3 linked regions of the Canis lupus familiaris genome follow. The protein of the gene in region 1 binds, or shares a complex with, the protein of each later gene. Links are inferred from orthologs where the notes say so. Each region holds a gene or a part of one and is shown on either strand. Other genes may lie near its edges.

Region 1 (10,830 bases):
GGGGCTCTGGAGTCGTGAAACAAAGACGTTCTTCCTCCTTCCTGGGCCCACGTGGGGTCTGGCAGCCTGAGACCTCGCTGGCTGGGAGCTGGGAGCTCCGGGTGGGCTAAGGAGGGGGCCGGAGGGGAGCAGGTGGGGAGCTCCAGAGCTCTGCTCTGCTCCCTGGGCCTCAGGGACGGTGGGCTCGGCTGCCAAGGGCTCCAGCCCTCTCCCCTGCCAGTGAAGATGGCAACGGGGGACGGGTGGGGGCAGGTGGTGGCCGCCGGTCACTTGGGGTCCCGGAAGCGGGGTGCAGAAGAGGTGGGCCGGACCCAGGCCCAGCCCCCCGCTGCCCCCAGAAGCTTCTGGGATGATGGAAATGCTCTGAGCGCGTGTCCAGCAGGGTGGCCGGCCCGTGGCGACTGAGCCCTCGGGGCGCACCGGCTCCACGGGGGACCCGAGGTTCACGCTTTCACCAGGTGCCGCACCCGGGCTCGGGGTCACGGAGCTGGGGCTCCAGCCCAGCTGCCAGCCCTGGCCCGGGCTCCTCCGTGGCGCTGAGCCGCCGGATAGGCCTTGGTGCGTGGGGTCACAGGGGGGACGGGGAGCCCGTCGTGCACCCGTGGGGACCCCCACTGCCCTCCCCGCCGCCCCCCGCCCCCAGGCCGCGGGGCCGACCTCCGGAGCAGCAGCTTGGGGTGGTTCTTGTTCTCCAGATTCTTCTCGATGAGGTCGGAGAGCAGCTGCTTGAGGACGTCGGTGGCGTACTCCAGGCGGCCCTGCAGGCCGGTCATGATGAGCGAGGCCACGTTGCCCCGGTCGCGCATGGAGAAGCTGCGCTGGAGCTCTAGGGTGCGGATGAAGGTCAGCAGGAACACCTTGTTGTTGATGAGCTGGGCGAAGAGCTTCAGGGCCTTCTCCACGTGCTGCTGCCCGTTCCCCTGCACCTGGGGGGGACGGCCGGGCGCCCTCAGAGGCCGCCTCCCGCCTCCCCGCCCGGCTCTCCCCGGGGGCCTCTGGCCAGAGCGACAGGCCTCTCCCCGGGATGCCTATAACTGCCCCCCCACCTCCCCCCCACCCCCCTACTCCCGGTCTGGGGAGGAACAGCCCGCCTCGAGGTCCCCGGTGTGCCCGCCCGTCCACGGGGTTGGGAGGCCTGGCTCCAGGCTGAGCCGTCCGTGGGGTGCCGGCCGTCTGACTTTCCCAGGGATACTAGGAGATGCTCCACCACACTTGCCTGGCTTACGAGTCTCCCTTTAATCCTCTCTGCCCTGATCTATTATCTTTCGTAAAACAAACCAACAAACGAACAAACAAACCTCCCAGAATCATGTGTCTTTCCTTAAGCCACCTTAAATCCATCTGAGGATGCGATACACTCTTAGTTAATTAATTTAGTCATTAATTAAAAAGATGACAATGAGCTGGAATCATCCCAAAGAGCCCGTGTGACCCCGCTGGCCGTGACCTGCCTGTTGTGGCGATGCTGTTCCCGGCTGTTCCTCCCCCCCGCCCCCCCTCCCGGATCCTGACCTTCCTCTAAGCTCTGGAGCCCCATCCGCGTTGCCAGGACACCCAGGCCCTGTGCTCCTGCTGGGTGGCTCGGGAAGGGTGGCAGATGTTACCTCCAGCTCCCGCAGCACGGGATGGTCCTCGATGCCAGGGAACAGGACTCGCATAGCGTAGGTTCGATAATCCAGGTAGGGGATTCCTGAGCGGTCCAGGTCGCTGGTCAGCTCATTGATGTCTGTCTGGAGCTCAGCAAAAGCTATGAAAGTGCAGGGAGACCAGGGGGCTCAGGAGGGCACCCAGGGGAAAGGCAGGAGAAGGAGGGGTGGGCCTGGGGTGCCGGGACAGGGAGGGTTGTAGGGATGCATCTCCAGAAGGGGTGAGGTATCGCCAGGCCTCCTTTCTTAGGTGGTGGGCATGTGGGCGATTTCTGTTATGTCCTCTTCTATGCTGATGCATAATTTGGACGTGCCTGTGTACTGTAAGTGTAGTTTAAACAAAGCAAAGGGAAGAACAGTATGATTTGGGGCATGCATGGGGTTGCAGGTTCCAGAAACAGCTGGGAGGCAGGCAGTGACCAAGCGGATGAAGAAGAGATGAGAATGGGCAGCTTTGCTCCCCTTTTCTTTCAAGCAAGAGAATAAATCAAGATGCAAAAACCCTGCACAAAAATGAACATGAGATACTACTTGACACCCATTAGGGTGGGCTATTATAGAAAACTGGAGGGGCACCTGGGTGGCTCAGTTGATGAGGAGGCCGATTCTTGGTTTTGTCTCAGGTCATGATTTCAGGGTCCTGAGATCAAGCCCTGAGTCGGGCTCTGTGCTCAGCGGGTGAGTCTGCTTGAGAGTCTCTCCCTCTCTCTTTGCCCTTCCCCCTCCTCGTGCATGCACATGTGGGCACTCTCTCTCTCTCTCTCAGATTAATAAATAAATGAATAACACATTTTTCTTTAAAGAAAAATGGATGACAACAAGTATTGGAGAGGATGTGGTTACACAGGCACCCTTGTGCACTGCTGATGGGAATGTAAATTGGTGCAGCTGCTCTGGAAACCAGTGTGGTGGCTCCCTCCAAAAAGAAACAGAATTACCAGAGGATCCAGCAATTCCACTCCTAGGTATGTACCCAAGAGACCCGAAAGCAGGGACTTAGATATTTGAATACTTGTGTTCGTAGAAATATTATTTGCGGTACTGAAAAGTGGAAACAACCCAAATGCCTGTGGACAGAAAAATGGATAAACCACAAGTGGTCCCTACATTCAATGGAATATGACTCAGCCTTGAAAAGGAAGGAGATTCTAACACATGCTACGACTTAGTGAAGTAAACCAGATGCAGAAGAACAAATACGGTATGATTCTGCTGCACGAGGTCCCTAGTGTAGTCAGATTCAGAGACAGAAAGTAGCATGATGGGTGCCTAGCAGCTGTTGGGTGGGGACGTGGGGGTTTTTGTTTAATGAGCCCAGAGTTTCAGCGGGGGAGGATGAGAAAGTTCTGGAGATGGGTAGTAGGGATGGTTGTACAACAACGTGAATGCACTTAACGCCCATGAACTAGAGGAAGGAAGAGTCCTGGGGTGTCTAGACGGTGAAGGTTAAAAAGGTAAATTTTATGTATATTTTAACACCCACACAGAGGACACCAAGAATGCCAAACCCAGCCTGGGGGTGCCCTTGATGCACCCCCTGCACCCCCAGCACCAGGAGAAGCCATTCCCCACCTTGCCCCGGCCCTATATTCCCTTTCATCCAGCAGAGGTCTTGTTTCTGATCCTGACGATTGCAGCAAAAGGAGAAATGTTTTCATTCCTCAATGAAATGTTTGCTCAGAGAGCCTGCTAGGTCCTCAGCCCGAGGAAGATGCCAGGGATACCTGTTACCTCGAGGCTGTGGTTGCGTGGGAGATAGAAGAAAACATTCTCTACTCTCACATGCATCCGTGGCCAAGGACACCAGCAAGTGGCGGCCTTCAGAGCCCTCCGCCTGTGGCAGGGGTGGGAAACAAGGCCTGGGGGAGGGGGCGAGGCAGGAGGCAGGTGGGAGCTCCCTGCCCTTCCTGCTGCTGCTGCTGCTGCTTGCACATGCTCCTGGGGCAGCTCCGCAGGACACAGGAGCTGGACTTCCATTTTGTGGGGGGAGGGAAGGGTCTTTGGGGTCTGAGAGCCTGGCCTGGGAGGCTGTGTCTGTGGGGAGACAGAGGCCCTGGAAGGGAGAGTCAGGGGGCCAACTTGGGGGTGAGTCAGGGCACAGGAAGGACTAGAGCAAGATGAGCAGGCCTGGGGCCTCACCCTGGGCATTCTTTTATTTTTTTAATTTTTAATTTTTTAAGAGTGAATCTTGAGCAGACTCCATGGTCAGCACAGAGCCCCATGTGGGGCTTGATCCCACGACCCTGAGATTACGACCTGAGCTGAAATCAAGAGTCAGATGCTCAACTGACTGAGCACTACCCCCCACCACCACCACTCCTTGCAGGCACCCTTAATAGGACTTCTCTGGTGCTAAAGGCAAAGGGAGGCCTGTGGGCAAACAGAGGATTAGGGTGGAAGGAATGACTATCGAGGTGAGTTGTCTGTAGGGAGGAGGTAATAAGGCTGATGAAGAAAGATGGGTCCAGGAAGCGAGGGAGCGCCTCCACTTACCTTCCTTGCACTCCAGGGCCACGCGGGACTCCAGGTTGTCCATCTGCATCTGAAGCCTCTTGAGAGTGAGGTCGTTTTCTCGAGACTTCCGCTTGTAGGCAATGAGGACGATGATGACGATGATGAGGAGGAGGCTGCCGCCCGCCGCGATGCTGACAATGGCTGGCAGGGTCAGCAAGCTGTCTGAGATGACACTCACCGAGCCAGGAGAGAACACCATCCCGCCCACGTGAACCTGTGCATTGCACACACACAGACGCTGTAGAGCCCTGGCATGCCATCGAATCCTTACGTTTCAGAAAGGGCATGAAAGACCACAACCACACAATACAGACTTGGATAAGAGACAACTTCCTGCTTTTTATCCCATTTCAATGCAGAACACGGTGACGAGGAGCTATGCAGGAGGTAGACGGACGGCCTTACTTTAGGACAGATCATGCATGCACAGCCAGGAGAGGAGGAAGTCGTGAAAGGAAGAGTTCACTCACCATGACCTTGTGCTGCCCCGTGAGGTTGGGAGGCTCACAGAGGAGCTGCGTCTCGGACACAGTGACAGCACACGGGGTCTCTCCAATCAACACCGTGTAGTTGAGTTTGGCACCTCCAGAGGCAGGAGGGCAGAGGTTTTTGCCCTGCAAATAACAGTAATCTTAATAGAAATAATGGACACATGCACACAGAAGTTAATTGCTTATTCCAAAAAAGATTAGGGTGGTGGGGGAAGGGCAGCCATGCAAAAACCAATAGATGGCTCCCCAAAAAGTTTTTGAGTTTTTTTTTTTTAGGATTTTATTTATTTATTCATAAGAGACACAAGAGAGAGGCAGAGACGTAGGCAGAAGGGGAAGCAGGCTCCCTACGGGGGACTTGATCCCAGGACCCCGGGATCATGCCCTGAGCTGAAGGCAGCCGTTCAACTGTTGAGCCATCCAGGCATCCCTCCCCAAGACGTTTTTGGAGAAAACATCAAACGGCCACAATTTAGAGAGCCAGAGGGGAAAATGCTAGGAGAGGAAGAAAGGGAGGACGAGATGGGGGAAGAAGACAGGAAGAGGAGACCAAATGGTGAACAAGTGAAAATCTGGAGGAGGGCACTTGGGATACAAACGAAAGTAACAAAACAGGCGGACGGATAATTCCAGGGAACCGTGACCTCCTGAAATGTGAGCGCAGGTTATGGTGGCCATGGCAGCGGTCAATAAAAGGGAATGTTTACTTCCAATGTGCTGCAGAACTTTGGAGTCCCAGAGCTCACAAGAACAAACAGAAATACTGTAAAGTGTTTCTTGAGAATCCCAAGTGCGAGATATATCACAGAGTGGGTCGATATCTATAAACAAGCTCCCTTTTCAGGGAGATGGCAGCTTTGTGAGTCCGCGTGCACAGGGGGGTGAACAAGAAGGGCCGGGGAGGGGGCTGTCACCATCACGGCGTGTGGCAGGCTGCACTCTGCACATCCTACCTTCAGAATGATGGGGGATCCTGGCTTTTGATCCAAGACTCCAGTGGGGCTGAGCAGTTCAAAGGTTGGGTTGGGGTAGTAGATGAACTTGGTGTCATTGTAAATGAGCAAAGACTGGACGTTGTTGAAGACGAATCCAAACTCATCTGGCCGTTCCACAGTGTCTAGGCCGGGCCGGTAGTCCGTGGTCAGAGAGGGTGCCAGGCAGGTCAGCGTGGTGGTGTTCACAACTTTGCACACCTAGGAGGCCCAGAGCATGGCATTTAAATGCAGACTAAGCATTGGGTAAGGTGGAGGGTGCGGGGGTAGGGGTGGTTGTGTCACCCTACCACCTCCCACCCTCTGCTGTGGGCTGTTAGCATTGGGTTACTTAGCTGTCTTCATTAGGGATCAGTCCCCTTGGCAAAAAGAGCTGTGAAATGGGGGGGGGGGGGCTGCATTTAACATCATTCATTCATTCATTCATTCACCAGCATTGTTTGAGCATCTATTCTGTGCCAGGGGCTGTGCTAGGAGCTGGGGCCATCTAGTGACATCGTCACGGTCTGCAGGGGGAGAAAAAGGACCACACGTGCTTTATAACGCAGTCTTGGCAGGGGCCCTGGAGTGCAGACGGGGCCTGCGTGTGAGGAATGCCCCAGTGGGCAAGGACCAGGTAGGGTAGGAGGACCTGCGTGTGTGTGAGTGTGCACGGCCGTGGCCTGAGGATGACTCAGGGACAGTGTCCCTTGGAAGAACTGAGTGTAATGTAATCTGAAGAACGAGTGGGACTGAGCTAGACAAGGAAAGGTGGGGTGTGGGGACAGGCCACAGGGGGACAGAACAGCAGCAGAGGCCTGGCCTGGGGATGACGGAGCACAGAACGTTTGCAGGCAAAGCAGGACAGGAGCAGTGTAAGGTGTGTGTGTGTGTGCGCGCGCGTGCATGTGTTCTGGAGCAGGGAACAGCATGAGATGAGCACTCCGCCAGCACGTAGTAGGTGTTCAGTTAATGTTTATTGAATACACTAATGAATAAAAAGAATCCTTCAGCTCTTTGAACTTTCTATTCAGGAGCTCTCTCTTTTGCAACGAGGTGCTCCCTTGCTCGGCACCACGGAGTTCAAGTCGTCCTCTCGGGCAGCCCGGGTGGCCCAGAGGTTTAGCGCCGCCTTTGGCCCAGGGTGCGATCCTGGAGACCCGGGATCGAGTCCCGCGTTGGGGTCCCTGCGTGGAGCCTGCTTCTCCCTCTGCCTGTGCCTGTGTCTCTGCTACTCTCTCTGTGTCTCTCATGAATAAGTCAATTAAAGAAAAAAAAAAAAAAAAAGTCATCCTCTCTTTCTGGGTAGACCCCGGTGTCCCTACTGAAATCCTAGCTGAGCTGGCCCCTGCTTAGCACGAGTGGTGCCATGCCCTCCTCTGGTGGTTTAGTTCCAGGGCTGCCTAAGGCAGCGGCCAGGCTAGAGAAACCACGACGGGACCCCTGTATGGCTGGTGGACAAAACCTGGCCTCCCCCCCACTCCGCCTGGCTTGCACTCAGCAGGCCCCGCTTCGGGCTCCGGGTGTCCCAGCGACAGCCAAGGGCATCTGGGAGATCTCGGCTGCACAAGTACGTGCAGTCCTGGCAGGTCCACACGTGTTGTGAGTCTGGCCAACGCACACACACGCACACGGGCTTCATGTTCTGAAAACAAGACCTCGTGTGAAACTGCAGAAAAGCTGACAGTTGCGCAGAGATGATGTCAGAGCTCCAAGGATTAACCCCCACTTTCCAGAAGGAGTTGAAGCGTTTCGTCAGCAGAGCTCGCAGGGGGCTTCGGGTCCTGTTGGAGGTCCGGGCCCGCTCCTACCCTTTCCCCTCCGACTGCGGCAGCCCCTTGGGAAACGAACGTCCCCTCGGTGCTCCAGCTGGGGACGCTGGGGCAGGGGGGACAGGTGGGTACGCTCAGAGGGGCAGGGCTGAACCCGGGAGTCTCAGGGCCTGGGCAACTCGGGGCAGGGCCTCTTCACTCTGCTCCCCCACCTTCGTGCGCACTCCTGCCAGCGCCCTAGACTGGACTGTGAATAAGCAAACCACTCGGAAACAAGCAGCCTCTGTTTGCTTCCTGCCTGGTGCTGCCTCGGCACTTTGTTTGCCAAACATTCCTTGGGGTTTTGCGGCCTTTGCTTTGGCCCTTCTCACTAGTCCCCCCCACCCCCGGGGGCTGCTTCAAAACCCAGAAGCAAGAGGTAGCCCCCCTGGGCTGAGGATGGGCTGAGGATGAGCCGGGCCCCAAGCAGGCCTGCAGGGCAGGGCGCTGTTTTCCCACCGCTCCAGACAGGGAAGGTGACAACCACTCGTCCAGGCGTCTCCTCCGGGCATGCCAGCCTGCACACCCCGGGCAGCTCACTGCTGAGACACCCCCACCCCCGGCTCTCAATGGCATGATGGGAGGGATGGGCACCGGGGGACTTGCTCGGGAAATTCCCATCCGGGGCCACTAGTGTACCCTGGTGAGGGGAGAGGACACATCAGGACCTTTCCAGATGGATGTCAGGTCCAAGGAAGGCCTTCCCAGACCAGTCTTCTCTCCAGACGGCTTCCCTGGGCACTAAGGCTGCAGGCTTTGGAGGTTAACCTTGTCAGTCCCATACGTACTCTGTCCTACGTTAACCATGTCAAATACTTGCTGTATTTCTGATGCTGTGACATTTGGGGCCGTCCCCTCCCAGGGCCAGCCAGGGCCTAGAGACAGCAAACAACTTGCCTGTCTGCCAGGGCACACTGTTCTACTGCAAACCAATCAAACCAGAGCCCACACCCCCGACCACCTGCTTTTCCACGTTCTGAACAACTACCCACCATGTCTAATCAGACCAGGCCAAGTACCGGGCAGCTAGGGACAGCCCCTGAGCCCCAGAGCCCTCAGAAATGATTCTGACCGGGCAATCCTAAACCTGCTTACATTGCCTGGTGGGTTCCTTCCTGCAGAAGCCATAATAAAGGCTCTTGCCGCAGTGCCCTATTCTCCCTCTCCCCCCCCCTTCTACACCCACACTGATGCTTCCCACCTGCCCCGACCCCCGACCCCAGGGCATAGCAGACCCCCTTCCCTGCAGTCGTCTCCTATGCTGTTGGCCTTGACATACCTGAGTCATAACAGAACCTACGTTTTAAAACACGTACCTAATTTGTGTAGGGGTTTTGTCCCTCCCGAGGGTGAGCGCACTGTTCCCATTTCTACCCTCACCTTCCTTCCTCCCACTTAGGCCTTGGAGTTGGACAAGATGGTCTGTGAGCTACTGGGAACACGGGGCTCAGTCTGGAAGTGGAGGGAGACATAGGCTCTTTTATTCATGGATCAGACTCTCCACTTGGGATAAGGAGGCATGTGGTCTCTCAGCCCAAAGAGCTGCGACCATGGTGGCCACTGAAGGTGTGATACAGGTGTCCCCACATCTCTGCCATGAGGGAATGTCACAACCCAATCGCCAGCATCTCACGTGGTCTAGTCATGAAGAGTCTGGGTTTGGGGGATCCAGGTGACCCTACTACCAGCTAGCTACCTTCATAGTTCCGGGCAAGCCATTACTCCCTTCTGGCCTTCACTTCTTCAGCGAGACAATGAAGGGGGATGGACCAGAGGATCCCTGTAACCTTTCCAGATCTAGCCTTCAAACACCATGCATTTTGTGCCTTTCTGTGTTTCCTAAGGAAGCTTCTAGCATGCTGGGAACCTGTCAGGGAGAAGACGATAGATACAGTACCGTCTTTACCATCTCTATCACAGCCTACTCAATCCCCTGGGGTCAGAGCAGTAATAATAGCAATTATCTGACAAATAATGGCCATAATAGCATCTCCTGGACTATAATTATGAATACAATAATGTTTCAGAAAATATTGGCTAACAAGACTGAGATGGAGCCACTAGAACAAACCAAAAAAATGTATAATGACATCTCAGACGTTCCGCTTTTATGATCAGGAACTTCTCTAAAAATCACAAAAACCCGTAGAGGAAAAAAAAATTAAATTACATGGCTCTGCATAGCGGAGTAAAGGAAAACGTTCAACTGATCATCTTAGCAACGGGCGTGGAACTAGCCGCACGCAGCCACTGACGTCTGTCGGGTGCCAACCCCGTGCCCGCCGCGGGCGTGTTACCGCCCTGCGAGGAGAGTCTTATCATTCGCATTTACAGGCAGAGGAGAGAGGATCCCAGAGGATAAATGATGGGATCACGGTTGTATGACTAATAAACAGCAGTATCCCGCTTCCAATTCAGAAGCGTCTGGATCTGGAGGCCGAATTTCTTCACCCTTCCACTTTGCTTCTTATCGGACCTCAGAGTGACCATGGCACGGACCAGGAGCCCTCTCGTGCTGTGTCTCACGCTCAAGAGCCAGTACATTGATCAGCTCGTTCTATTGCCTTCCAAGGAGCAATGATTATACTGTGACTGTTAGCCGTCACTGTAAGGTTCAGGCGTTTGGGGCCGTGACTCCAGGCTCAGGGTCTTGAGCTCACTTTCTTCTCCAGTAGGGTGATGCTCCTTCTAACACGGACCTCAGCTCATTGCAAATGCAGACACACAACTGTGGCTAGGGGGGTGGGGGTGGGGGGCCAGGTAGACCAGCGCGTACTCACGTTGACGGATTCCTTGCCATTAAACTTGACTCGGACCCTTGGCTCCTGAATGACGTCCAGGTTGAAGCCTGTGATGGTCAGCGGCGTGTGGCCACTGGGAACAAGCAGAGGATGGGTTAGGTGACAAGCTCTCTCAAACCCTTAACCGCCGCCACGCTTGGGTCCCTGCACAAGTCCCCCAGGGCCGAAGGGGTTATGTCAGGTGGCAGCTGGGCGCATCCTCCCCACCTCTGTCTCACCTGGCGATGCTCCACTCCGGCTCAATGCGCTGCACCCGGGGGTCATCTATGTACTCGAACTGCAGGTTGTTATCCACGCGGGCTCGGTCGACACTCACGGAAACCGGCACCGGGCCCAGTCCGTTCGATGACGGAGGGGAGACGCACACGATCTCATTCATTGACCGCCTGATGGGGGGACAGCGGGAGGCTGGTGAAGAAAGGCCTGGGCAACGAGGAGAGCTCTCTGGCTTGAGAGCGAATTTTCCTCGGTCTGAGGGTGTGGATGACCCAGAAGTGTTCTTTCCTACTCTACACAGTGGAGCAGATCCCTTATCAATGGATATAGGTCCCTCTTTCTATAGGAGACTCAACTCTGGTTGGAGGGAGGGAACAAAT
Region 2 (10,830 bases), on another chromosome or scaffold:
CACAGTTGTTTTGAGGAAATTGCTCCCAAGAGCTTTAATTAAACCAAGAAGGATAAATCTGTTTACAGTGTGGTGAACACTGTCATTAATAAAACATTGAAATAATTAACGAATTAAATTCTGTTTTGTGTGTGAATGGCTACACTTAGGAACTATAAGAACATGCTCCTTGAACAGACAGTACGCTATGCATTTAGTATGCAGAGAGGACAAGAAAAACCGAGACTGCATTTCTCCAAGATTCACGGTACCGTGAACTGCTAGAGCTTGAATGGAGAAGCCTACAGTACCTTTATTTTATAGGGAAAAAGACTCAGCTTCAATGAAGCTAATGGTTGGGGCTCTAATGATGTGCTTGAAAATTAAGAATTGTTATAGCACCACTTTGAATCCTTGACTGTTTAACCAGAAACAAAAGGAAGAACAAGATTACATTAATAATAAGATAAGCAGCCATAGGGCACAGGACAGAATGGAAGACTGAAAAACGTGGGCAAATTTCACAGTGTGATTAACTCTGCTGTGGACAATTAAAGAGGTTTTAGCTGCTCAGGATGTGAAGTGGCCTTTTGAGCAGGATATGACCATGTGCACAGCTCTGAGTCGGGACTTCCCTTATGCCCCTTCCCACTAAATTGCCTCTTGACTTGTTTTTAAGCTTTCTGGCAGACAAAAGATCTCACAGGAAGCCCCAGTGTGGACGTTCATACCCACGGTTAACGACGCATTGTTTTTTTATGTCACTCAGTAATTTCCTAGAGAAAACAATGGGAACCCAAGACTGTTCCTGTCTTGAAGGAAAGTCAGTTTCCAATACTGACTTATTAATTTAACACATGCAAGTGTTTGTCCTTGTTGCTGTAGCAACATGTTTTGTGGGGTATATTTCGTGCAAAATGTGAAAAAGTGGAAAAAGAAAACAAATACCATTTGCATACTGATGTGTGTATAAATAGAAATATATGTGCACTAATATTTCTGTGATTGGAGGTATGTGCCTTTTGCCCTTAGCCTCAATTATGCTTTACTTGTTGGTTAATTTAAAACACCTACCCAAAGAAAACAACAAGCCAACCACTTCCAAGGAGTTTCAGAGAAGCTGGAAACATATGCAATTCTTCATAATTAGGTGACAGGTGAATGATAAGAACTCCCACCATGTACACAGACACAGGCATGGAAATGAGCCCATTGAGCTCCACAAGGAGCAAAAGATAATTTTACCTCGAGGTGCACTGAAGCTAAGCTTCTCTGGCATTCATCTTCTGTAGGGATGGAGGAGCCATAAAGGCCCTGAATATTTAGGTTTAGAAACAGTAAAGCACCCAACTTGTCTCTCTCTGTGTGTCTTCTCCCAAGGAAAAGCATAAAGGGAATCAAGTCACAAGGTGCACCTGAATTTATATGCAAGGTAACAGATGATAAGGACAGAGAAGACTGAAGTGTAAAGAAACAGGTACTGGGAGTCTAACAGACCCTGCTTCCAAGTCCGGTCACTCACTGTGACCTTGGGCATTTACTAATCTCTCTGAATCTCAGTGTCCTCATTTTTAAAATGAGGATAATTGCACCTCCTTCACAGGACTGCTGTGAGAATTAAATGCAAATATGTCAAGTACTCAGCAGAAGTCAGGCCCCACAGTAAACACTCAATAAATGGTGACTATTCTATGAATGGCACACTTGTCATTCATGCTGTTCATCCAATTTCTAGCTCTCCTCCCTCCAGTGCACACTGAATTGCTGCCCCTCAGAAGCTAAGTATGGCTGTGGGATGTGCTTTGGCAATGAAAATGGGTGGCAATGCTCTTCGAGGGGACCTTAAGAGCTAGCACGATGGCCATGCTCTCGTTTTCCCTCTGCTTGGTGACAAGCAATGTTTGAGATGATGGCCACTCTGTCTGTCTGGGTCCTGGTGTGAGATGTGGAGTGGATCGTCAGCCCATTAGAGATGACGCAGGCAAGAAGTTTGAGCTCAAAGCAAACCTTGTTGGGAGGTGGGGTGGAGTTACCTAGCTTCTCCCAACCATTGCTTTCTATGCTTTGGTGGAAAGAGTTGAGCCATTTCAGATTTTTTTCTTCTGCCTAACTCCTGAGAATGAGGTGAATCCCGTCCTGTGGACAAAGGCTTTGTGAGAGCCCATTTTGCCTCCATGTTTCTCCTGACAGAATTGCCTTGCACAGAAGAATTGCTACAGTTGCAATTTCAGAACCCCTGCAAGATCACTGTCCCTAAATTATCCAGCACTCTCCACATCACCAAGAATAGGCCTGCCTTACTGTGCAGACATGCTTAGCACTACAAAATGCAAGCTTTCCTCTAGAGGCACGTCTGTCAATCATACTGGTGTTGGTAGGTGTGGGATGTGGAAAAACAAGTTACCAAGGCAAATTCATTTAATTTCTGACTAAATCTAGAGCTGGATTTAGCAATCCCCAGGTAAAAGTCTCATCTTTTCTCACCCTCTACACATTTCTCCGTGTTATCATTTACAGGTTAGCAGGAGTTCAGTCTTCTGTAATAGGCCATTTCACTTTAAGTGTATGTTAAACTAATATTGACCTTTTCAAAGTAAAGCAAAATCTGGTATTTGTACTCAAAAGACTGAAGCAGCAATAGATGTAAAAAGTACGGGATTAATCATCTTGTTTTTTTTTCTTGCTTAGAAACTCTCTCTGGGAATTAGTCATTTTTATATATCTAGCGACGAACGTAAGACAAGCTTTGCCTACTCTCTAAAAAGGATGCCTGGATCCTTCAGCAAATAGCTTTGTATGATTTGCCTACTGTTTAACCCACACAGCCAGATCTGGATGTTTCATTTGACAGGGGGTGAAAAAGTCAAGAACATGAGCATCAGGCCTTGGGTGGGAGTATCCAGACATCAAGGCTGGCACAAGTTGAGGCATTAGGAGAGGTGCCAGAGATGAGGCAGGGCAGGGGAGTCATGGTGCAGAGGAGGAGGGTCTCTGGGGAATGCCAGAGCAAGGGCAGGGAAGGGAGTGCCAGGGCCAAGGGGGGAAGCAGAAACAACATCATTATAAGAATACAGATGTGTCCACTTTATACAAGTACATTATATAGGTACATGTATACACATAATCCACCAAGACCAGTGCCCTCAATCAGACTGCTTTCTTGGGCATGTGCCATGTATACCTGTATGGAAAAGTCAACCTCAACCCCTTTCTTCTCTTCATCTACTCGGAACAAACAAACGAATAAGAAACCTTATCCTTAGATGCAATTATTTCATGCGAGTCTGCTAGAGCTAATGTATTTCGTCAAGAAAATAAAAATCTGTTGAAGGAGTTAGTGTCTGAATAGAAAAATGTGTAGTTGTGGGGAAAAATTAGATCTTTTAGTTGTTACCAAAGTGAGACATCTGTGCTCAGATTCTCTGAAGAGTTGTATAAAAGTATCTGAGAAAATAAATGAGTTTTCAGAGACATCAGCTGGGCTGCTTTTCTCAAGATTGTAGGGACACGATGATCCTGCAGGGATTACCCATTGGTCCTCTCTTCTCATTTGAAGGTGTCTGAAATGGCACTGCATTTTTATCAACAACCTTTCTTTTTTTTTTTTTTTTTATCAACAACCTTTCTAGACAACCAAAATCTTCAACCCTATATGTGCCAAGTCTCATGCTGCCTACCTGAATCCACTCTCTGTAGGAATCCTCTCCAGGAGTCCACCCATTCTCGGGATAGTTCAGGCGAGAGCGTTCTGCAGACCAGTTGGTGCTATACTGGGAAGAAGCTGTGATCTGGTCAGAATGAATCTCCCCTGATTCCATGCCCAGAGCTTCCATACATTTGAAATCTGAAAGGGAAAAAAAGGAGCCAAATGTCATCAAAACAAAGGAGACCTGAGATGCATATTTCTTTTTATAATCTTGCAATCTAAAACATTCATTTTGATGTTCACACAGTGTCTTACAGAAGATGACAGCAAAAGGACTTATGGGGACATAGCAGTGACAGGTGGCAATAATTGTAATAATGATAATTTTTAAATGCAAGGCTATGAAAGTCTCATAGTGATTAATTATTTTCCTAACTGGACCTAGGTTGACAGAAATACTATTAGAGATGTATTAGGAAATAATGGGAATTTTGACTTATTTTCAAAGTTAAATATATGTAGATATGTGACATGGATACGTACTGAAAGCTATATTTAAATAAAATTTATTTAAAAATTTAAAAATTTTAACTATTTTCAGGGTGCCTGGGTGGCTCAGTGGTTGAGCATCTGCCTTTGGCTCAAGGTGTGATCCGAGGGTCCTCGGATCCAGTCCCACATCAGGCTCCCTGCATGGAGCCTGCTTCTCTCTCTGCCTGTGTCTCTGCCTCTCTCTCTCTCTATTTCTCATGAATAAATAAGTAAAATATTTTTTTAAAAATTACTATTTCCTTCAATACCTAATAAAAGTGAAAAAGACTCGATGTCTATTTATAATCCATATTCAGTGGACAGTAGACCTTAGCTCGCTGTCTTTCAGATTCCTTGTATTTGGCACCTGGGCCACCTCTCCTTGACTCCCTTTGTTCTCATGTCTCCTGACCTTGGCCTGGTCATGATTATTCATGTCATTAGTTTATATTAGTAAAATACAGGAATATTGGGATCCCTGGGTGGCGCAGCGGTTTGGCGCCTGCCTTTGGCCCAGGGCGCGGTCCTGGAGACCTGGGATCGAATCCCACATCGGGCTCCCGGTGCATGGAGCCTGCTTCTCCCTCTGCCTGTGTCTCTGCCTCTCTCTCTTTCTCACTGTGTGCCTATCATAAATAAATAAAAGTTTAAAAAAAAATAAAAAAAAATAAAATACAGGAATATTTGTCAGAAGTAAACTGCAGCATCATATGGTCCCAAAGAGGACCACAGCTTTACAACATAAAATAATAATTCTCACAATGATGATTATGAATCACAAAAGCATGTATTCCATTAGGCCCCATATACTCAGTGAAACAATGAAATATGACATTGATGTGAAATATGATATAGGGAAGTGAATAGTCACCTTTAGGAAATGTGAATGTGAAGCACTAAAGTGAAAAAAGTATTTTAGAGATTAAAGATTCTCAACCATTGAGAAAAATCTCAATTAAGCAAATTTTCACACTTCATGAATTTTCTATCATAACAGATAAAGTTTTAAGATAATTAAAGGTCCCTTTCACAGGTTCCATACTTTTAAGCTTAAGTTTGTTTGTAATATAAAATATTTATAAACACAAAAATAAATTAATTAATTAATCATATGAAGTCCAAATAAGATTTTGTAATTTACCTGGCCTTTTTATTTTCCAGTAAGAATAGTAAAAAAGATACTAGTCTGTAGGACAAATCTCCAAACATCTCCTGGTCTCTAACCTATGCTACTTTATAACCTGACAGCTAGAACTGTTGAAACACACAATTTATTCATTGTTCTTTCTCATGTTTTTCTTGGGCTCTTGAAAGGGATGGACACCATCACATAAACTTTGAGGAAGGGTTGAGTTTGTTCAATATTTTAATTAGATGCAAAACATATTACTTCCTCTTTCTTTTGTGGAAAAGTTAGAACAGAAATTGAAACATGCTTCTTTTATACAAATATCTACTTTTATTCACATAAGAAAGAAAAACAAAATGGCTTCTGTCTGGGTCTTCACTACCTGAACCATCATGAGTCTGCATCTATCCGGTAAGGCTGCCCTGTCAATAAACCACCACAGATTTGTTCCTATCTCTTCTTATCCATGCCTGTCCTTTTATGATCTCAGCCCAGTACACTTTCAAGCCAGACAGATGGCCTGGCTATATAGTTCATTGTTTTTGGGCACTGTTTGCCCATTTCCTACTTTCTCCCATAAGTTCAGAGGCTTACAAGCAGCCTTCTCATCTACAATTTTCTTAAGAAAGTATACCAAATAGTTTTTCCTATTGATATTCATCAAAACCATTTAAAAAAGAAAAACAGGGATCCCTGGGTGGCGCAGCGGTTTGGCGCCTGCCTTTGGCCCAGGGCACGATCCTGGAGACCCGGGATCGAATCCCACGTCAGGCTCCCGGTGCATGGAGCCTGCTTCTCCCTCTGCCTGTGTATCTGCCTCTCTCTCTCTCTCTCTGTGTGACTATCATAAATAAAATAATAATAATAAAAAAAAAATAAAAAAATAAAAAATAAATAAAAAAGAAAAACAAATAGTTGGCAATCCAGTTCACAAAATATTTCTTTAGTGTTTCCTGTGGCCACGAGGTGTGTGAGGAGGATTAGCAGGGAGTGTTTACCACAGTGCTTTGCAAGATGAATAAATACTGACCTTCTGAGACACTGCTCTGCAAGACACTATAGTTTGCTGAGAAGCCTTCTTTGGCGATTGCACTGTCCGTATAAAAAACCATGGAGAGAATGCCCGATGAGGAACGGATCCGACCTGGTGTCTTCTGTCCACAGTAACGGCCAATGTGAGGGCCAACTAGAAAGGGAGCAATGCGGAGAACATTGAAATATCTTTTGTTCCCCAGCAGATGTGAGAATAAGCATTTGCAAACATGGGTCCCAGCAGAACCCAGAAGCGTTCTCTTATCCAAAGCAAGTCTTCCCTGGTTGATGGGTTTGCAGTGCAAGTATTGGATCAGGTTTGTGGAGAGGATTTTAAAGCGTGCTCAGAAGGGCAATCACAGACCTAACTACATTCCCCCTTGAGCAGGATTGTTTTCAAGAACAGGATCTAAATGCTTGCTTCAACTGCAAAGAATGAGATTTGGGTTGTCGAGGGGCACCTTGAACATTCATCTCCAGGCCCAAAGTGTGCACAACACCTAGTGCTGAAAGATTCCTGCTAGGCTGTGATGACCGCGGGCTCCTGCAGCTGCCTCACTTACTTCTCCCACCCTGGAAGGAGATCTCAGGAACTGGTGCTGGATGGGACTGGACCAGTACCGAGAATCTGATCCAGCACTGAATGACCCCAACATCCTTCCTCATTTCATCTTTTAGTCCTGGAGACTTATCATAAATAACATCACAGACTTGGACAAAGGATGATGTACTATGTCCTACGCAGGGCTCTAACTGTAGGCTAATTAACAATTGTAACAGTTAAAACAAATAGAAGCTACATAGATCAGTAATTCATACATAATAATAAGTTGAAAACAAAATGAAAAGAAAATGGGTCTGACTTCTCTCCCAGTTTTTTTCTTTCCCAAATCTAAGAGAGGTGACTGCATTGCACTTGTGTCTTGCGGCCAAAAGATGGCCCAATGCAGCCATTTGACTGGGCATACTGGGAGAGAAAAAAAAGGAGTATGGGGGCAGTGAAAGATTGGAAACACTGATTAATTTGTGATTAAGTCAGACTTCTGTTTGGTTTAAGTGGGCCACCCCTTTATTGAAGTGCTTTTAGATAAACCTTGGCAATTAGTAATTTTAAGTTGCCTTACAGACAGTGCACAAGCCCTCTGGGCTTGGAGAATCTTTCCAATTCCTGTCCAGATCATCAGCAAGGCAAAAAAAAAAAAAAAAAAAAAAAAAAAGATAAAGAAAAAAAAATCCCTTTTTCTCCAGATTTTTTTTTTTTTTTAATTGCACATATGGTAAAAACATACCAGATGGTTTGGGCTTAGAAGGACAATCTGGTGTGGACCATTTTCCCCTCCAAGAAACCCATGGTTCTCTGCATTTCAACTAAGAGTTATTGCTTTGTTCAAGGAAGCACAGTGGGTGGATTCCTCTCTGAAGAGTCAGGCCTACAGCAGGGCCACGGTGTGCCAAGGCCTGTGTGTGTGACTCAGATGCAGAAGGCAGCTGATGGGGAGGAGAAGCTTCAAATGTGATTGAAAAAGTGAAGCTCTAAATGCTGATCTCCCTGGAGCTGCGTGTACACGCTGAGTTCTTGGTAAGCAGCTGGCTGGGCTGGGCACCCTGCTTCTAGAATAGTCAGAGGCTTGGTGAACAGGTTTTCAGTTCTTGGCCAACCCACTTCAAACAAATAAACAAAAAAACCCCCCAAGCAAACAAACAAATAAACAAACAAAAAACAACCAAATTGTTTCCACATTTGAGTTAGCGCAGAATGGTTACTTTGAATATCTGATAACTTCTCCATGCATTCACAGTAACTGATTTGATCAAATTCAAAGAGTTCTCTCTACTGTAACTCCTCACGCTCCAGCAACCTGACACTGTGTGTGTGTAGACCATTTTATCATGAAGAAACAAGGACATGAGCCCATTGGGACATCGATAAGATTATCTACAGGATGCCACATGGTCATGAACCATGGCTCTGCATCACAGGAAGAAAATGTTGTTCTATCAAGCTTCCCACTTGGCAGCATCTCAGGAGGTGAAACTCTCAGTTTTGTTTCTCTTCAGCTTTAACCTGAGCCTCAGCTTCCTCTACAAGTGTTAATTCTAGGCCAGATTTTCTTCATTCTGAATAGATTCAATACTTTTTTTCTTCCCTCTGGAGTACAAAGTTGCCCATGACACAGGCATGAAAATATCATGCTAGAGCCGTGAGCTCAGATCTTTCCTTTCCTCAAAAAGAATCCCATTTTTGATCTGTAATCATAATGAGAATCCTAGAGTCCATTCATAGACTCTCACTCCTTTCCCTCATTTAAATTCCATTATTGTGGTTTCTTTCTTTCTTTCTTTCTTTCTTTCTTTCTTTCTTTCTTTCTTTCTTTCTTTCTTTATTTCCTTCCTTCCTTCCTTCCTTCCTTCCTTCCTTCCTTCCTTCCTTCCTTCCTTCCTTCCTTCCTTCCTTTCTTCCTTCCTTTCTTTCTTTCTTTCTTTCTTTCTTTCTTTCTTTCTTTCTTTCTTTCTTTCTTTCTTTCTTATTAGTTTGTGGGCAAACTAATAAAGTCCGAAACCTTGGAGCCATTCTCTGATCCCCCACAGCCATTGACCCTTCAGAGAATACAAGAGCACAAGGGAAGCTGTACTCGCCCCCTTAAGCTGTGACTGCAGATTCTTCCCCTCCACTACCACCCCATTCCTCTGGGGAAGGGGGGTAGAGGGAGACTCTTTGAAAGAGCAAACAGAAGAGAACTTGTCTAATGCAGACTCATAATTTAGAGAGTCTCCATGACTCACTGGTTTATAATGTTGAAGACATGCTGGGTAAATCTGCCTTCTGTCCTTCAGAACATTGCCCGCGGACAGCAGCGCACAACTCCCTTTAGGAGCCCTCAAGACAGGAGAGTGAAAAGGCTTTTTCGACCATAAGACAAAGAAGTATTGAATTTTCCTGAACAACAGCAAGACCTTAGCCTAGCAAGCTAATGCAATATTGATCTGAGCAAGAGTGGATGGAGTACTCTTATCCGTCTCCTGTGTGTGCTCATTTGTGTATTTACATGAACACGGCTATTGGATTTCCTACTTCCGTCATTGTAGACTCAAAGGCCAAGGAGATGAATGGAAACTGTCACAAAAACAGCAGTAGAACTCAAAAATTGCACTATTGAAAAATTTAAGCAAGCAACACGGCCTTAGTAAATCTCATGGTGGGGACAGTAGACCCCCAGTGATCCTCTTTTCAGGTGTGAAGGTGATACGGTATTCGTGCTATTTAAAAGATACATCTGCCACCTGAAATCGCCATACCTTATTCTCTGTATTTTTCCATCAATCTCTCCGGGAATTATAACCCCACCTTAGAGTCTGACAACTTGGCTCTCTGCCCCCTTTCTAGGGCAGCAATCTACTATAAGATGTACTTTTAAAATGACACATTCTGAATGACTAGACAAAAAAGGGAATCATTTCGATAAGGTACAAAATAGACCATATACTCTTCTCCTACAATAATAAACTTTTTGTTGGATAATATGTGGACTTTGCAACTCTCCCCTGGGGAAAAAATGTGCACAGTTGTGTCATTTACATTTCAGAATGTGTATATTTTATGTTTATATCATTTTTATCTTATATTTCTATCTCAGAAGGTTAATTCAAAAATAAATAGGAAGTCAATACAAACCAAAGACAACTCAATCTGGTTTTCATGACACTTATTCTACAAATAGTTGACAATTTTTGGAATGTAGGTAACAACTGCATTGCCACCTCTTTGGCAGAGCCTAGAAGGAGAGCTGATTTTGTGTGTGCCCAGGCCGTGTGAGCTAAGCATTCGAGTTTGGCTTCGTGATTCAGCACAAACATTTGCGATACCCACCAGGGTGGCACACTCAGCTCATTGCTTACAAACCATATGTAAATTTCCACCAATTATTTCAGAGTCGCTACTTAGGAATCCATGGAGCATCAGAGTGACACACAGGAATGTGTGATTCAGCATGTGCATAGGATTCTGAGTCCTGGAGTAAAACCACTTTCCTTCCAAGTCAATCAGAATCAATGGTGGCTGTCAATGACTTAGTCACCTAACTCAACGTATATGATAAAAAGCAACCTAAAATCTCTTGGTGGTTTAAAGCCTTCATTCAGCACCTTCTGGTTGTCATTTTTGGAAAGGGTATCAAGAGAGTAAAAGCAGTTTTGCTGGCAAGGAACTGCATGTGTTGGACTAGCATGACAAAAATGTTTCTAGTGCCACTGACAAGAAACCCAGGAGGGGCAGTCTGCCACTTTGCCTAAAAAGGAGAATGCTGTTATGCTGGTGTAGGCTGGATGAAGCCAGGTAAGTTATAACAAATATACAAAAGCAATTTTCATATTCCAAGGCCAGCTTGCTCTGGGAATAAGTCAAGTGCACCATAGTTTAAAACACGACTGAATTGTGAGGCTGATAACTCTTATTGTTAATTGTTCCTTGCTTCAACTCAGTGATTTTCTAGAGCCAGAAAATTACTACTTTGAA
Region 3 (9,981 bases), on another chromosome or scaffold:
AATGTTTGATGATGAACAAGCCCATAAAAAGAAAATGCATAAAATGAATAGAGGGAGTCAATGCGTGCTCTGCCTTTTAATTACCGGTGGCTTCTGCTACAACCTCTGCTCAGGGCTGGGTGGAGGGAGAAAATACATCCATAATTTGGGTGGGGGTAGGGGTGGGCTGGGCAGGGTGTGAGTACTGCAAACAAATGGGTCTAACCCCCTGTTATTTATGCTCTGAAGATGGGGAAAGAGTAGGCTCCAACCCCAAAGGATGGGGTTCAAAAGGGAAAACTTAAGAGATAAATAAAAACATTCAGGACACAAAGGATAATGTAGAACAGTCTTGTTTTATTACTTTTAAGTAATAAAGAGCCTTTTCCTTGCTTTTTTTTTTTTGTCTTTTTTTTCCCTTTTTTTCTTTTCTTTTTCTTTTTTTTCCTGTTTTACAACATACATTACGTCATGAATCAGATGTTAGGGGATGTGGAGATGGAAGGAAAATTGGTGACATCACAATATTTTTACAACTTTACAACAAATATAAATCTGAGTTTGTTGCATCTACCAGTGTCTAGCAAGGGTGGAAAGCAAAGGCACACTCAGGTTTATGGACCCTCCCCCCACACGCAGTGGGGAAAAAAAAAAAGGGAAAAAAACACTTAAATGCAAAAGACCAGCTCAATACATGTGGGCATTTCAGGAAGAACACCGCAAGTGATGGGTTGAGGGGCGGTGGGGACGCGGGCTGGAAGTTTTGACACAGGTCTCCGTAACACAGCTGAGGCAATGATGCCCACCCATGGGACAAGAGCGTGGGTGCTGCCGGTCAATACTCTTGGGGGTCAAGCTTCATTCGGGGAGAAGGGAAAAACAATGATCTCAGTTTCTAGAAGAGACTTTATGGTTGGTTTCAGGGTACAGAGTTCACAGGATGTGAACATTGATTCTGCTCACAAAACAGAATAAAAGCATAACGACACAAAACAACAAAAACCTACCCCAAACGACAGCAAAACTGCGCGGGAGGTTTGCAGGAACACAAAGCTACCAGTCTGTCCTCGCGACACACCTGGTCTCACTCTGATTATGGAAGTACCACTTTTTCACTAACAAACTCAAAATTGTTCCAAATAGTCTTTCTTTGAAAGTTTTTTTTTTTTTTTAAGACAAGATTAAACTCAGAAGATCAAACTGGAAATAAAAAGAGACAAAGAGGCCACCAAATATACTGTTTAACTGTTAAAAAACACAACAACCCCAAACAATGCTCACTGTTTACAGTATGTTGACAGTTCTTTGTTCATGATAGAGTAAACAATAGTCCCTTCTGTGTGCTTGAGCTAATGAGAACCAACCGGGGGAGAAAAAACACGCCCCACCCGCCCCCTTACAAACAATAATAACAAAAGGATGAAGAAATTTTTTGAGAAATTACAAATCTTCTGGCCCGGTCAACGTTTTTTGCAGCATCCATCGTGGTTGGCTTTGTACTTGGAGTTACTCGTCCATCACAGCAGGGACCAGCCTGCCTGTATCTACTTCCACGTCATGTCTCTGTGTGCAGTGCTCGTGCGTGCCGAGCCCCTGGCCTGGAGACGCCCTCCAGGTGTCTGGCCACCGCAGACAGCGTGCTCTCCAGCCAGTGGACACGGCAGAAAGGAGGGCTGGGACGTTAGTCCCTTCTCTGCTGGCCGAGGAGGCTATCACCATGTTGAAATGATCTGAGAACACCGGGAAGCAGGGAGCGCCGGAGGGAGAAAGGGTACTGCCACCCTCAACACTGGTGTCCATGCTTGGTGGCATGGCCAAGGGGTGGCTGGAGTTGGCACGAGTAGAAGGAAGTGTGAATTGGAGGGTGTGCTGCTGCCTAGCTCTCCCGGGGGGCAGGCTTCTAACCACCACCACCACCACTGCATTCTTCTTCCATCTGCTAGACGCTAGGAATCTTCCAGAGGGCTGGAGTGGGAGTGGGGGGAGGGAGGGTCAAATAAATATCTGCATTTATTTCAAAAGGCGGGGGAAAGTTTATCATAACGACAGTTTACAAGTGTACACAACTCAGGGTGTAAGGCACAAATTTACATGTGGAAAAGAGGCTATTCACAGATGTAACCCCACGAAAAACCCGTGTGAGCAAACCATTAATTTATGCAAGGTAGCAGCCAGCATATTAATTAGTTCACACCTTTAGTGGATTTTGTTTGCGGTCTCACATGCAAGGTGAAATGAGATGGGTTTCACAAGCTGGTGCCTTCACAGAAAGTAGGAACCACTGACAAAGCCACGTTGGCAGCAATGGGCCGCGGGATGTGTCATTCTAAGAGTTCCTCTCCCGGTTGCGTTAAGAAGTTAGGATCTGGAAGGACTTTTAAGCTAATTAATTTTTTGCATGTTAGAGGCCAGAGACCCGACCAGCAAATTAACTGGTTGGTTTCAATAAATATTCATTCCCCTCGCAACTTTTTCCTCTAGCCAGAGATCAGACAGTCCAAACACAAAGCTCAGAATTCCAGCTCCAGCTTATTTACTCAGTGAATTTATTGTAAAAATAAACTCAATTATTCCAGTTAATGGATTTCACGTTAAATAGTTTAACCTTCAAGGGGCTTCCTGAAGAGCCGTTGGTAGGATGGCATGTGGAAGAGTCCTTTCCTTAAGGAAAAAAGGGTGAACAATAAATAAAGAGTTACTTGCGTTAACGGTCACGTTATTTCATTAAAAGAGAGGAGCAGAAACCTATGACCTGGTTGCCCAACGCGGCATCGTCTGCTCAGAACAGGAAGCTGTAACACTGGTGGGCATTTCACAGTATCTGCGCATAGTAAACTTCTGCCATTGTTAAAGTCTGAGTTAGAATTATCAATGAATTCTTTACTTTTTATTTTTATTCCTGTCTTTTTGCGTTTCATGATTCGTAAAAACGTGTTTGTGGTCTGCAGGTGGGGCTCCTGCCCTGTTGGGCGGCGCCCCGCACAGTCGCGGACAGAAGGTTGCGGGCACTGTTCACCTGTGTGTGTGCGCGTGTGTGTGTGTGTGCGTGTGTGCGCGCGCGGGTGGCTGGGTGGGGGGGTGTGCTTTTGGCTCGTGTTTGTGATGATCGCTGAAGTCTCTCGTGAGTCCGACCTGTCGCGCAGCGTGAGGGAGAGCGGAGCCTGCGAGGGGAGGGGAGTCCCGCGTGGGGGCCCGGGGGCCCGGCGCCTCCCCGCTGCGCCCGGGCCGGGAGCCGGCGTCCTCCGCTCCGTGGGGGCTCGGGCAGCGGAGGGCCCCGCCGGCTGGGCGCGCCCGGCCGCTCCCGCGGCTTCGACACCTGACCCCTCCCCTGGCATTATGTGCACGCGTCATTGGGCTTCAGGGAGGTGGAAAGGGGGGCAAAGGAGGGCTTGGGGGGTACGTCCGGCTTTAGCGAGGGCGTGCGCTTCAGCCCCGACCTCGTCAGCGAGTTGTAGGCGTTGAGGCTGGGCTGGCGCGCGACAGTCACCGCCTGGCCCGCCGGCGGCGCGCCGTGCACCTGGATCGAGTCCACCCTCTGCGGGGCGGGCGGCGGGTTGTCTCCCCGGCCAAAGCTCTGGTTCCGGGACAGGTGGGAGGAGTTGGAGCAGTTAGTATTGTTTCTTTTGAGCGTGGTGGCCTGGTGGCTTCTCGTGAGCGAGTTCGTGGGGTAGCTCCTCTTATAGTCAAGGCCGTAGGAGGAGGAGTGGTGCATCTCCAGCCGCTTGCCCAGGCCGTTCTGAGACAGCGAGGCGCCCGGCGGGCCCAGGGAGGCCTCGCGCTGCGGGACCTTGGGGGGCAGGCTGTCCAGGTTCTCCACCAGGGTCACCCCGTGGTTGGGACTCTTGCTGCTGAGATGCTCCTTGATGGTCTTATACTCCAGCGTGGCCGCCTGGTCCTCCAGCGCCATCTGGGCCACCTCGCTCATCTTGGGCTGGTCCACGTACTCGTGCTGGTAGCCCTGCTGCGCGATGGGCAGGACCACCACGCTGGGGATGTGGCTGGGGGAGGCCCGCAGGGGCAGGTCCGTGGGGATCACAGGGGAGCCCATGGGGGGCATGTCCTTGGTGCAGGCATTGATGAGGTTTTGGTTCCTCTCCCACTCGCGGCTGCCGCGGCTGGGCTTCCGCTTCTGCTGCAGCGTCGGGGTGGACTCGGGGGTGGGCAAGGCCGCCAGGTCCAAGTGGTGCTGGTCCGCCTTGATGAGCATCTTGGCCGTGCTGCCCGGCGCGGCGAGCTTGCCGTTGTGCATGAGCGGCGTGAGGATGGCCTCCGGCTTCGGGTCTTTGGACTGGGTGTCCCCGAAGAGGCCGCTGAGCTTGGTGACGCTGCTCATGGAGCCCCGGCGCGAGTGGCTGAGCTCCTTCTCCTTGCGCTGCACCGCGGACACGTCCTTGCGCCTGTGGTCGCAGACGCAGTAGACGATGATGCCGGAGAAGACGGCCCCCATGACAAAAGCCAGGATGACCGCAATGGCCAGGAGGGTGACGGGGACGAGCTGGTCGTGGCCTTTGAGGTAACTCTCCCGAATCACTCCTGCAACAGACATCGCATACGGCGTCAAGAACCCACAGCACACGGGGAGGCTCATTTCTGCTTGGCGGTCGCCCCGTTCATTAGTAAGAGCAGTGAGGGACAACAGCACCTCCGCATAACTTGTTTTGGGGCGCAGCTTGCCAAACATCAGCTGATTAATCCTCCCCAAGCCGCCCCCCCACCCCGCCCACCCGGGTAGTATGTAAACAGCCTTGGTTTGTGGCCGCCTTTGTGTTCTGAAAAAGTGCTTCTCCCCCCCACCCCCACCCCCACCCCCACCCTCTCAAGCACATGCTCTTTCGACTTTGCTTCAGTCTATGGAATATGACAGTTTCTCATTTCCAAAATTTATTCCCTCCTCCCCCTCTCCTTCATCTTTTCTCAATCTTCCCCTCATAAAATTCAGAGTGTGGAAATACTTGGAGTCTGGGGTGGGGTGGGGGTGGGGAGAGGCAACAGTTTTATGTCCAATAAATGAACAAATGGCACAATGCTCCAGGCTTCCAGGGTCTTTTCTGACCACTTCTTTGTGGGCACTGTGGCCTCTATCTGGAGAAAAGCTATGTTTGCATTTCAGGCAACTGGAGGAAAGACAGCTTGTGTCATTTACAGTGAAAGAAAACAGCTAAAGCTCACATTACAAATGTTTAGGCTGATTTTGTATCATCCTTCAAACAAACAAACAAACAAACAAAAAAACCACCACACCACCCCAAACCCCATGCACACTCAATTTCAGGTAAATATGCTGAGTATCTGAATGAAGCTCTTCCCTTGCTTGAACTGAATGACTATTTAGAGAAAGAAGAGCCATTTGGGGCCTTGTCGTGGGTTTGAGACGTGTCAGGACTCATTATTATGGCTAGAGTTTGCTGTCACGGTGAGATTCTTCGGGAGAGCTAACCTCATCAATTTAATAAAAATTATGTGACTACACCCGTCAATAATCTTACACTACATTAACCAAGATGCTGTGTTTCTGAAGAAAGTTGCTTTCCCTGTTCCTGCTTAATCAGCCTCCAAGCTGAGAGACTCTAATCAAATGCAAACACTGAGGCTTTTATTTTTTAATACCAAGTGAGAATACACATCACGATTGTCAGATCTTAAGTGCTTGATGCGGTAGCTAAAAAATAAAATCTCAAATACCTCAATTCCTGCCTCTGGAGAGCGAAAGAACATGAATACATTAGAGGCACTGCATGGGCTGAGGAAATGTAAACATTGTTCCTATTATGGAAATGATAGTAAGACAGAAAATGTACCTTCTCTGGTCTCAGGAGACACATTTTTCATCTGCTAAATCAACTCTTTCTGGAATATGTTTAATGTATTTTACTGGCAGATATCACTGGCACAGAATTAGAATGAAATGAAATAAAAATCTCTACCCCTTCCTAAGCCACAACATGCAGCCCCTCAACTTCTGAAATGCTTCGTATGTCACAGCTGAGACCTCAAAGAAATGCAGCTTGATCATGGGGTCTTTCCGTTAAAATATTTTGATTAGGGAAGCAGTCGTTTTAGAACTCAGAAACCTTTGCTTGTGGAAGAGAACATCCTCTCTTCTTTCTAAACATTCCTCCTCCCCTCAGTTGTGACATCACAGTTGGTTGCTGTGGAAATGATTGTCTTGTGACAAAGGATTGTGACTTTAGGGGGAATAAATAGAAGCAGCAAATACCTCTTGAGAAACAAAGATTCTGTGATTAAACAAATGCTCTTGGTAATTAAGGGCAGGGCAGGCAGTTCACCTCCAGGGAAAGAATGTGTAAGATGGCAAGACCCTGAATAATTTCCAAATGTGACACTTCTCAAATATTTCCAGATTTATATTCATGAACTTTTGAGGGGTAGAAATGGACTAAAAAACAGCAGGAAATTCTGCTAGAACTCACACCTTGTACAGCGTGGAGCTTCCCAAACGGCGAGGGGTCTTGCATTCAAATATGTTTTAATACCTAGTCACCAAGGAACTGTGCTAATGAAAATTTCTCCCTTAAATTTGCATCTCCTTGCCATAATGCTAAAATAGCAACTGATTTTCTTTCAGTTTTGATGGTTTGGGGTTGGATTGAACGTTTTTAACCACCTACGTACAATGGCACAAAAATGTACACCTGTGAATAAAAGGAGTTGAACTTCCCGCGTTGACTTGGCAATCTCCATGGAATCTGACCACAGGGTAGACCTCCCCAGTGCAGGTGGGTGGGGGGTTACGTACGAGGTAAAGTTTTCATAGCAGTGGGCATTTCATGGATCATCTCCTGGCAGCCCTATTTGCACGGAATGGGGGGGGGGGCGCTGTGTCTTCCCAATAAATGTGTCCTTATAATGGTAGTTTTCTACAATTGACTTTGGTATTTTATAATTTAAATTGACCTCTCAGCTTAAGAAGAACAGGGAAAGATTAAGGCTAAAGAGGTCCATTTGTTTCCTTCATTGTTTAATTGGGAAAAACTGCAAAAATTTCAAGTTTATCCATTGTTTCTTTACTTTTAGCTATCCTTTCTTGTCTTAAGGTCTCTGACTATCTTAATCTCATGGAGACCACTCGCTCTTTCACTGGGTAAAACTTTTTTAGAAGATGACATTTGAGCTCAGGTTTTTGGGTTGTTAACAAATCAAGGAGGATACGGAAAAATGGTGTCTCAGACAGCCCCTCCCATCTCATTTTGTTATGTAAATAGTGGTCTTAAAAGCCTGCATCTCTTCAGTTTTGAGATACCTACCACGAAGCAGGTGGCTTCTCTCATCTGCTTGTGCAAATTCAGAAATCCCTTGTACAGAGTCAGAAACAGATCAGAGATTAAGTTGAAAGTGCAGTTGAAGAAGATAAGTTACAAGTGGTTTTTGGAAAACGCCTTCCAAATTTAAAGCTTTCTGCTTATATTTCTGAAAAGGGTGAAGGGCCATTCATGGAAATGATTAAATCCACTTTGTGACATTGGTCACTGTGAAGGACTGAACACAATGGTCTTGTCAGAGAGGGCGGGGTGTGGGTGATGGTGCAAGCAGCGCTAGAGATCTCCAAAGGCCTGGGGTCTTAGGCTCCCAGTTACTGCTGGGTGACCTTTTGGCAAGTGACTTCTCATCTTTGGGCCTCAGTTATTCCTTATTTGCAATGTGGGGTTAATACATTTAATGCCTTACTGGGTTCTTGCCAGAAGCAAATACAGAACAAATAAGAAAGAACTTAAATGCTTTAGTTTGCTGGACAAATCTATAGGTCAAAAGAAGCCTCGAAAGAGAAGCGGTGGGTTAGTAGCTCACTGAAAGCTTAAGATTAATAGTCACAGCTACTCCATGTGATTCCATTTACTGTGAGTCTCTTGGTGGAGGGGGATAGACCTGTTCTGCCCAGCTCCAAACCCTGTGCTGTCCAAATGTTGAAGGGATATGCTGAGGCAACATAAGGGAACATGTACCTCTGTCTCAGGACTGCCTATATGTCCTGCATTTTGAAAGAAGTAAAACAACAAAAGCAGGAAATGTTGAGCAAAACACAGCGGTTATGGTTAGACTCCTAGTGAAGATAATCCTGCCTTCGGCTCTTTGAAGGATGTCAACTGAAGCAGAGAGCAATAAGAACCAGTGCCTGGACCATATTTTATGTGGATTTATAACTCTCACCATCACCAGAGCTCTTAGTTGGGCACTTAATAAATGATTATCGGATAAATGGATTTGCAGTACGTTGTAGAGACACTTTTAAATGGCCTCTAAACTTGGTGGGTCATTTTGCAGTGACCATAACCTTCTGAAGGTACAGAACCAAATTATATCTCCCTCCACAGAACAGAATATAATCATACGAACATCCAATAGACAAAAGAAATCTATAAAGGTACTCTGTATACGTTCAAAATAATAGTAAGAGAAACTATTTTAAAAATGAGAAGTTCATTCTGGGATAATTCCAAAAGAGATGATGAGCATAGGTGGGTTATTTGTAACAACTTGGTAGTCCAGTGGAATTGAATAATTCAAAACACATTCAACTCTGCAAAGGGTGCTTGTTGAACGTCCTTGCCTCAGATGCTGCATGGAGACCTTGGAGAAGGTGGAGGGGCCTTTGTAGGGCGGTGTACTCCCTCTCCAGGTTTCCCCCCAACACCCCCCCATAGGGGATAGGTAAGAGTTGGCTTCTCTACCCTGGGGCACTGAAATGACTTCCTCTAACGACCCCGGGGTCTTCTGTCTTCTGTTCTCACCGGTTGAAAATGGGGCATTATAATGAAAACAGTATCTGAAACATCCTTTGCATTGATTCATTAACCACCAGCTATTTCTCACCAGTCATGAGGTGCTAAATGGTTATTCTTTCCACCTTCTTATTGCAGGAAGCAAGGCACACAATGGCTTAGAGATTTCTCTGAAATCATGCCTTAAATTGGCAGAACTGAGAAAGAATAGAATCTTCACTCCCCCCAGAGAGTTTCAGATGCTGAAGGGATGCTAGAGGGAGGGCTCAGAGGGACAGTTCGAAGCTCTTTGGAGGCTGAAGCCCCACCCTCCAGGTCTTGCAGAATGTAATTAAAGTAAGAATCGTTCCAAACTATAAAGCAAGAAAAAGTCCAACACAGTTGTGAATTTTCCTATGATGACCATGTGAAGACATTTTGAAACCTCGGACATCAAGTACTTTATTTAGAAAAAATAATGGCTTCTGGTGGCCCTGCTCCTGGATTCCCACAGCTGCCGAGACCTGCAAGGGAAGCCCAGCGTCGGGCTCTGGGACAGCACACCTCGGGCATACCTCGGACAAGATCTCCTAACTCGGGGTTCGGGGGTGATGTTCTCGGTGCCTTCACTCTCGCCGTCGTGGTAGGACAGGGTTTCCGCTCCAGCCTTTGTGGGTGCCTTCCCCAAACACTCACTGAGCGCCAGGCGTTGGAGAGGCGAAGGTGGAGGGGGCACACGGCCTGCCACCCCCAGGGGCGAAGGCCCGCGCGCGTGTGAACTACGTCCAGAGTGGGGAAGCCTCAGGAGACACTGCTTCTACTGCAGCCTAGGAGGTGGCGTTTGCGCCAAGCCTTAAGGCTTTGAAGGCTGTCAGCGGAAGCAGAGAGCAGTAAGACCAGTGCCCGGAGGGAAAGGACGAGAAAACTGTGTTCTTAACAGGGAATGGTCTAACTCCCGTCTAGTCTCTCAGGCTCTAGGTACCAGCCACTTGGCCGTACACTCCCCTGCTTCTGGGCATTCACATAGGCTGTTCACTGTGTCTGGAATATCCCTGCTCACCCCTCCACCCCCACCCCCCATTCTTCTGACTCTGTTTTTTGGCCTTAGCTTGGACGAGGAAGCCTTTTCCAACTTCCTCTGACCAGGTTAGCTCTTCTACGAGTGCCCTGGAGGTCTGCACTTCTCTCTCCTAAAATCATTACTCTTATGTTACTTGAGGTTTGTTTTTCTCACCTAGATTATTTTAGGAGAGAGATGTTCCCTAAACATCCCAGGCATGAAGGT

Evidence for each region.
Region 2: the proteins of PLXNA2 (region 1) and NRP1 are in contact, whole or in part, in a crystal structure (PDB 4GZA), measured with the Mus musculus proteins. The link is inferred for Canis lupus familiaris from reciprocal best matches to the Homo sapiens genes PLXNA2 and NRP1. Residues at the interface, in NP_032908.2 of Mus musculus: Asp273, Leu274, Phe275, Glu306, Lys341, Gly342, Gln343, Lys344, Gln345, His348, Pro350; in NP_032763.2 of Mus musculus: Glu78, Arg80, Asp81, Lys83, Tyr84, Asp126, Tyr127, Glu128, Thr129.
Region 3: the proteins of PLXNA2 (region 1) and SEMA6A are in contact, whole or in part, in a crystal structure (PDB 3AL8), measured with the Mus musculus proteins. The link is inferred for Canis lupus familiaris from reciprocal best matches to the Homo sapiens genes PLXNA2 and SEMA6A. Residues at the interface, in NP_032908.2 of Mus musculus: Ala93, Cys94, Tyr95, Pro96, Lys155, Gln192, Asp193, Tyr194, Asp220, Phe221, Val222, Pro229, Ser230, Asp231, Leu386, Lys389, Val391, Thr394, Lys395, Ala396, Pro397, Val398, Leu407, Asp408, Ile409, Asn410, Gln411; in NP_061214.2 of Mus musculus: Arg108, Met109, Lys110, Gly111, Met162, Ala163, Thr188, Phe190, Leu191, Ile193, Tyr198, Thr206, Arg208, His212, Asp213, Ser214, Glu219, Gln266, Arg267, Glu270, Lys271, Lys393.

What each region holds. Positions count from the first base shown.
Region 1 is NC_049228.1:6,646,987-6,657,816, forward strand, and holds part of PLXNA2 (plexin-A2), read right to left. Parts: intron 10,621-10,830; coding exon 10,453-10,620; intron 10,308-10,452; coding exon 10,214-10,307; intron 5,845-10,213; coding exon 5,605-5,844; intron 4,775-5,604; coding exon 4,631-4,774; intron 4,375-4,630; coding exon 4,140-4,374; intron 1,748-4,139; coding exon 1,605-1,747; intron 927-1,604; coding exon 658-926; intron 1-657. UniProt on the Homo sapiens protein: Coreceptor for SEMA3A and SEMA6A. Necessary for signaling by SEMA6A and class 3 semaphorins and subsequent remodeling of the cytoskeleton. Plays a role in axon guidance, invasive growth and cell migration.
Region 2 is NC_049223.1:3,707,869-3,718,698, reverse strand, and holds part of NRP1 (neuropilin-1), read right to left. Parts: intron 6,472-10,830; coding exon 6,316-6,471; intron 3,824-6,315; coding exon 3,657-3,823; intron 1-3,656. UniProt on the Homo sapiens protein: Cell-surface receptor involved in the development of the cardiovascular system, in angiogenesis, in the formation of certain neuronal circuits and in organogenesis outside the nervous system. Mediates the chemorepulsant activity of semaphorins.
Region 3 is NC_049232.1:6,387,085-6,397,065, forward strand, and holds the end of SEMA6A (semaphorin-6A), read right to left. Parts: intron 4,513-9,981; coding exon 3,314-4,512; 3' UTR 373-3,313; downstream 1-372. UniProt on the Homo sapiens protein: Cell surface receptor for PLXNA2 that plays an important role in cell-cell signaling. Required for normal granule cell migration in the developing cerebellum.